Linked DNA regions of Nothobranchius furzeri. The protein of the gene in region 1 binds, or shares a complex with, the protein of each later gene. Links are inferred from orthologs where the notes say so. Each region holds a gene or a part of one and is shown on either strand. Other genes may lie near its edges.

What was found.
Region 2: ncapd2 (region 1) and smc4 share a complex: the UniProt entries of both Homo sapiens proteins name them as parts of the condensin complex. The link is inferred for Nothobranchius furzeri from reciprocal best matches to the Homo sapiens genes NCAPD2 and SMC4.

Annotation. Positions count from the first base shown.
Region 1 is NC_091745.1:73,760,403-73,764,220, reverse strand, and holds part of ncapd2 (condensin complex subunit 1), read right to left. Parts: intron 3,049-3,818; coding exon 2,871-3,048; intron 2,778-2,870; coding exon 2,683-2,777; intron 2,611-2,682; coding exon 2,530-2,610; intron 2,028-2,529; coding exon 1,844-2,027; intron 1,768-1,843; coding exon 1,599-1,767; intron 1,512-1,598; coding exon 1,395-1,511; intron 1-1,394. UniProt on the Homo sapiens protein: Regulatory subunit of the condensin complex, a complex required for conversion of interphase chromatin into mitotic-like condense chromosomes.
Region 2 is NC_091753.1:52,610,743-52,614,560, forward strand, and holds part of smc4 (structural maintenance of chromosomes protein 4), read left to right. Parts: intron 1-41; coding exon 42-169; intron 170-322; coding exon 323-463; intron 464-2,946; coding exon 2,947-3,097; intron 3,098-3,818. UniProt on the Homo sapiens protein: Central component of the condensin complex, a complex required for conversion of interphase chromatin into mitotic-like condense chromosomes.

The DNA.
Region 1 (3,818 bases):
TAACGTTCCTTCCAACATGACTGTTAGATAGTTCTGGGATTATTTAAATTCTTACATATTGTACCTTTAAAGCCCCATTTTTAAAGTAACTTGTGCACTTTTTTGTTTTGTTTCCAGCCTTTTCCATTGATTTTTTTTTTTTACACATTAGGACTAATTTGGCTGCCATACATTCTGGTTAACTGGTAACATTCAACAAAAACTAAATGTGCACCATTTGCAAAATAAAAATAATTACTAAATAACAGAAGAAAAGTTCTTTTCGAACAGACGTCATTTTAAAAGTATTGAAGAATCGCTGAAACGTCACATAAACCTTTAAAACCCTTTTGTTAAAGTTAGCCGTGTTTGATGTTCCAGCTGAGGTGTTTTCCGTCAAATCCATCTACAGGTCCAGGATTAGTGCCGCGGTCATGCTCCGCTCACTTTATCAGAACTCAGGTAAAAAATAATAAAAATCCATCCATTTTCAGCCGCTTCTATCTGGAGTCAGGTCGCAGGGGCTGAGAGGTCCAGATTCCCCTCTCCCCAGTCACTTGGCCCAGCTCCTCCAAGGAAATCCCAAGGCGTTCCCATGCCAGCTGAGAGACATAGTCTCTCCAGCGCTTCCTGGGTCTTCCTTTAGGTCTCCTTCCGGTTGGACATGCCTGGAAAAACCTCACCAGGGAGGCATCCTAACCAGACGCCCGAGCCACCTCAACTGGCTCCTCTCGATGTGGAGGAGCAGCAGGTCTACTCCGAGCCCCTCCCGGATGACTGAGCTTCTGAACCTCTCTCTAAGGGAGAGCCCAGCCACCCTGTGGAGAAAGCTCATTCCGGCCGCTTGTATCCACGTTCTCGTTTCGCCTTCTGGCTCAGCTCCCTCTTCACTACAACAGATCCGTACAACGCCCGCATCGCTGCAGACGCAGCACCAAGCTGCCTGTCGATCTCCTGCTCCATCTTTCCCTCACTCGTGAACAAGACAGGACCTCGTCCCTGACCCGAGAAGGCGTTCTACCCTTTTCCGATTCCAAAAATATTAATCTAAAATTCTCTTTGAATCCCAAGACTGGCCTAAATAATCAGATTTACTGATCTGAGAATTTGTTTCAAAGTAATAAAACACTTTACACGCTTTAACATCACCTAATTAACCGAGTCTGAGCTCGGTTAATTAGGTGACAACAGCTCAGGAACACATCCGCTTTGTTGTTTTTAAAAACACAAACAAAGATTTGCCTTCGTCTAATTTGAGCCAGCGGTCTTTGGTTTGTATTTAATAACTAGAGCGAACCTTCGTCACTGATTCCAGGTGTTGGGGTGACACTTTTGAGAAGGTTTGGATTAAAACAAATTTACATTTTTAAATAAATGTAGAGATTTATTTTCATTTAAAAATAGAAAACGCGTGCCTTCGTCCTCCTCTTCATCACTGCTGAAGGTAACCGCAGGTTTCCTGGACTTTCGAGACTGTCGAGGCGTTACGAACGCGTCGTCGTCGCAGCCGGAAATGGAGGACTTTGATTGGCCTGCAATAAAACCAAGAGGAAAATAAACTAAAATAATTCATCACTAAACATCATTTGTGAAAAAAGTTACATGAGGTGAACTCTGACCCCTTTTGGATTTCTGACGACCTCTGGTGGGCCGAGGCGTACACGCCACCATCCTCTTAGTGGATCCTTCTGCCTTTTGGTTCTCCTCGTCCATCTCAGGACTTTCCACGTTCTCCAAACCTCGAGTGTGAACCGCCGTCAGCCGCTTCTCAAAATCATCAACCTGAGCCTGAAAGATTTGATCATAAATAAAAGTCCTGTCCTGGCCTTTTGCACACGACTGACCTAAGAACGAGCGCCGGTACCTTAAACTGAGGCTTGGCTCCACGGCGGAGCTTGCCGGTGATGGACAGGAGGGGCTGGTAGACTCCAGGTTCGGTCAGCTTGTCGCTGTAACACTCCCAGCTCTCCTGCAGTCTCTTAAACCCGCGCTCACACATGGACAGCAGAGACAGAGAGATGGCCAAGTCGCACCACTGTCGCTCCGTCCTGAGGAGAACATCAAAGGAGAGTTTGAGGGATTTGAAAACAAACCCGATTAGCAGCAACGAAAGGCGGACATCCCAGAGCCAAATAACTTAAAAAAGCTCATTACTCATAAACATGGCATTGCTGTGACATTTGGACCAAATCTCATTTCCCAGGATCCTCTTATGACTAAATTCACTTTGCCATACTATAATTTAAAATGCCCTTGCTTTGAGCTCCGTGTGTGGATGAAGAATGAGTCAGAGGCTGAAGTCTGGCCGGCCCATTCGCTGCACAAACTCAACCAGAAGAGCGTTTCCATGACAGAGTGAATGAGACAGCAGTGCAGGTGACAGGTGAGCTGAACTTGATTCGCTCTCTTCTGTGAGTGAGAGCGCCCACTAATTACCCACACAGCCGCCCCATAATGAAACGCTGCAACAAAAGCTCACAATTTAGACGCAAAGCTGCTGGGAAGAAAAACGAATATGCGGGTCCGAGACGAGGGAACAGATGCACTCACGTTGCAGTCCTGAAGCGCTGACAGAGTTTCTCTACCAGAGACTCCGTCTGCCTCTCTTTAGTGATGTAGGAAAACAGCTGTCTGGAAAAAACACAAGGACAAACGTTACTTTGATTAGGGCGTAAACGAACTCCGAGCAGCTGCGAGACTCACTTCATGATGGTGTTGAAGTCCTCCGAGCTCATGCCCCTCTCTGGATCAGACAGGCGGCTGATGATGTCTGGGAGCAAGTTGTAGATGGCATTGTCCTGACGGGAACGGAAAGAGCAACGTCAAAAACCCTTCAAATGACTATTTTCTGTGTGTGTGTGTGTGTGTGTGTGGTGGTGGTGGGGGGGCACCTTTGAGGACAGCTCATTGAAGAAGTTCAGAGCCAGGCTGCTGATGTGCACCTCCGGGTCAATTAACAGCACAGCGACCTCGCTGACTTGACCTTTGACCTTGAGCACATCCTTAAGCACCAGCTGAGTAAGAACTGTCACGGCGGTCTGCCTCACTGAAGGAACCTCATCGCTCAGTCTGGAACAAGAAGAAAGAGAAGAATCTAATTAGCGGCTACTTTAGTAATAGAGTCTGGCCACGTCCTGCTGCACAAAGAACACCGAGCCAAATATAAACAAGCACAATACAAACATGGAGGTTTAACCCCACAGAAACACCTGCAGACAGGTGAGTCGCACATCCATTATAAATACAACCATTATAACACCAAAAGCACATTACATCATACTTTCTAAAGGGAGACTTTGGCCATCAACGTGTTTTATGTGTGAGGAAAAATATTTTTCTTAAATGTTGTAGAAAGCTCCTCCGATCGGCCTCTGTTCAGAGAAACAGATCTCAGGACTGAGGAGCCATTTTGATTTCCACAAACATTTGTGTAAAAACTGAGTTTGTAAACTCAACACAGAACCTCAAATTCACCGAACAGTTAAACACTCCAGGCTGCTTCTTTTACAGCGACGTAAAGGTTTATTAAAGGGACATTATGGACGTTTGACAGCCAAAACATGTATAGAAATAATAAATGTCTTCTTCATACATTCTCCTGCAATGCCCTGGTCTTGTAGAATGAGCCCTGGCATTTTTACTGTGATTGCCTGTTTTTCTGTAAAATCACAGAAAAAGAGAGATGCTCGGGTCGAGCAGGCTGCTTCATGCGCGTTCACGCTCAGGCATCGCCCGTAGCATTTGCTATCAGTAGCTTTAGCAGCAGAGAGTGAGGTAGTGCCAACTCAGCGACTTTGTCGCTGTTCCTAACGCCTAGTGATGAACCTAGCTACATTTCT
Region 2 (3,818 bases), on another chromosome or scaffold:
AAGCGACCCAATATCAATCACTCATGTTTTTATTGTTTCAGCTAAACCGAGTAAAGCTGGTGGAAAAGGAAAAAAATGCTTTGGAAGGAGAAAAGAACAAAGCTGTGGAGTTCCTAAACCTGGAGAATGATATCTTCAAACACAAGAGTCGGCTGTACCAGTACTACGTGTGAGTACTCCATTACCACAGGATAAGTACTCGTAGTTCACACTCGGATCCAACATAGCTTCACAAAGTCATCATTGCATTCTTCTGTGATGCTTTAGTGGTTTATTTAATTGACTTTTTCTGTGTGTTTTGAACATTTTTCTCTGACGTTAGTCATGATCTGCACAAGCATGTTGTGGAGAAAGAGCAGGAGAAGCAGAAGATCCTGGACGACACCAAGGAACTCCCAGAGAAAACGGCTAAGATAGCTCAAGAGATGGAAAATATGAATCAAGAGCTGAAAAATGTCGAGAAGTAAGAAGTCTAAGGTTTCCTTCTGCTAGGGCTGCTCAATTAATCGAATTTTAATCACGATTACGATCTGAGTTTTGAACGATTATAAAAAACAAAACAAGCCGATTATTTGCTCCTCCCGCTTGCGCTGCCCTGAGTTGCAAATGAAGCGCTCCTCCACAGTGTTGCCAACTTGGCGACTTTGACGCTATTTCTAGCAGCTTTTCAGACCCCCTTCTTGACTTTTTAATCCTAAAAGTACCTAGCGAACATCTCAGAAACATCTCTGGTAACCCTTAGCTACTTTCTGGATAACGGTCGTCGACATTTCCTGCAGGTTAGCTAAACACTCCGCCTGAGCTCCGGACCGTTCTTCACAACATTAGGAAAGGGAATGATGTAGTGATGTGTCGGTCGCTAAAGACAGCTCTCGGAGCCGGCTCCTTGTTGGATTAACCAGAGTGAGTGACACACACATCGCACCTGCGGACTCCTGAGCAGCTAAAAACAGCTAAATGTGCGCGTGCAGCGTGCTAAACACACGTGCAGCTTGCCCGATTGCTGTGAGACCGGTTTGGGGGGTGGGGGGTGCAGCTGTGGTTGAGACAATTATTACATTAACTGATCGACCTGTAAATAGTTTATAAATAAGGTAGAAATAAGTTCCTCACGCTGATAAATAATAACTAATCTCTCTGAGGACACGGTGCTAGTGCACGCTCCTACAGCACCTTGACATGACTAAATAAATGTTATGCAACATTTTGTGAACATCAATTTATTTGCATTTATTTGTTATAAATGCCACTGTATAATTCTTGCTGTCAGTATTTGCAAGATATTGGTATTTGGGTCTGTACTAGTTAGACTTAAATGAGTTAAACCAAGGTCTATAGCCCTTGGGTCATAGACTATGAGCTATAAGTATATTGGTCTTTTTATACTGGGAATCAGGAGTTATTTTAGTGATCATCTTGTTTCTTATTTTTGTCCTAATTGTGCCCTGAGCAATTTTATGACTGAATAAAAACAAATAAAATCATCATAAATTGAAAAATCGTCCTAAATAATCGTGATCTCAATTTCAGTCACTAAAATCGTGATTATTATTTTTGCCATAATCGAGCAGCCCTACCTTCTGCTGTTTCTAACTACTAAAAAATTTTTGATTTCCTGCTAATTAAGTAATTTTTGTCATTTGAATCGTTTTTAATCACGTTACCTGTCGAGATGAATAAAGTTTTATTGGATTAGGTTGGGTCGTGGTTGTTACCTGCTCCTAATGTGGTGTTGAGGATAATTTAAGTTTTGCTTAAATGTAAATATGTTTTTTTGAAAGTTACTCCCAAAAAGATGTTCTTTAAAGAGCAAGTCACCCCCAAATCTACTTTTTTTGCTGATAAACTATTTAAACGAGTGTCTAATCGTGCTGTAGACGCGTGTATTCAGTAATTTGGCACTTCAGTGCATCTTAGTTAAAATTTAAATATTCAGCCTATAACTGTCAGTGTTGCGCTGTCGTCAGGTAAAACCTCTGCACTGTATTTTAATTTAAATCTGCCACAGCTATTGGCTAAAGCTTGGTTTATGCTTGACGCATTCACTTTCCGCTTGGTGATGCGGCTCGCGGATGGAACGCGCTTCACAACTTGCAGTGTTTATGGTTCATGCGGCTTGTCTCTGCGGTGAGACAATATTCTCCCAAACTGTAGGGGGCAGCATGGAGCTCTACGGCATGCATCCAACACTACACCATAGTAGAAGTAGAAATGACTGTTGTTTACAACATGGCATTCCAGCATTTTTTAACAGCGTCCTCGTCTTTTCCGACAGTGCGAGCTATTTCTCTCCAAGAATTATTAACCTGTTGATCACGGTGATCTCTGAGAGCTGAATCATACAAATGTCTGTATTTACAAACCTCTGCCATACTAGTTCTTGCCAGTCCGCCATGTTTTTCTGCGTCCAACCGTCCGCGTGGTTAGAAAAATTCCTGGTTGCGCGGTGCGGAAAGTTTGGGCCGTGCAGAGGTGCGGTGGAGGGGCGTGGTTGTCAAAATGACGCAGCTTTCCGCGCGGAGCCGTGAAAACCTAGCGGACGCGTCAAGCATAAACCAACCTTAAGAAGAATGCTATGATGTTAACTGATACATTATGATGTCACAATGCTGTTGTGAGCCTGTGTGTGTGTGTGTATTTGTTAGCGGCTCCGCCCTCTCGGTCTGCTAGGCAACAGCATTTGTTGCATTTGTCAAACAGGAAGTGGGAGTGGAGTAAGACTCTGGTGGGGGTGACTTGCTCTTTAATATTTTTTATAGTTTTCTGTTTTGACTCATTACCTTTATAAGTAACTTATCAGTTAACTGAACAGAAATGTTCTTTAAAATCTAGAATATTTGCTTTTTTAACTCGAACATCTTTTTGGTTTTAAATAGTTATGTTTCATAAATAATTTAGAGGGGTTTGATTCGGCTTACTCAGTAAAATGTTGTTTTTTCCCTTCAGAAAACAAAATGAGATCAACAAGTACATTGAGACCCAGAAGGAAAAGTTCACCCAGCTGGACCTGCAGGATGTTGAAGTGCGTGAGAAGATCAAACACTCCAAGAGCAAGAATAAGACTCTGCAGAAGCAGCTGGAAAAAGACAGAAAAAAGGTGTGTTGGCCTTTAAAATGCTCAGTGGTTTCATTTCCACTTGCTGTGACGGATTTCTACTAGATAAGTGATGTCACTCTGGTATAAATAACCCCGCAGCAACACCGATCAAAGGCACTGAGACACACAAAAAATAAAAAGCAACATTTTTCCCCAAAATCTGTAGCATTAATAAATGTAACATTAGCTGCACTAGCGATAGCAGCAGTGTTAGCTTGTTTTGGGCCAAAAAGAAACTCGAGGAGGAAAAAATAACGTTTGTGCCGTTCTTAGTCTGTTGAGTTTCTAACCAGATTTCTTCAAACCACTTTTGTTGTGAAAATGATGACATTTTTTATTATTTTTGAACAAAAACAATACAAATCAGGGAGAAATGAAGCAGAAATATTAATAAAGGTTTGTTGGTCGGTTTGAAGAAAAGCGTAAAGAAGCCGACGCTTCTGGGATTTTTTTTCTCGATACCATTTTGATCAAAAGCTTCTAGTTTAACTGCTGTGGATGGTTATCGTTTATTAAACAAATATAAAGTATTATCTTTAAGCTCATTGAAATTTAGATTAATGATCCCAGATCTGCACACTATCTGAGCTGAAGTGGAGAACAGGAATGTTTCTTGGTTCAAATCCTTTTATTACGATGTGTCTGATTATGTAAAGATGTTTACAGTTTTGTCTGCTTTTACCATAGAAAATGAATCTTTAATGTAAACTGGCTTCATCCA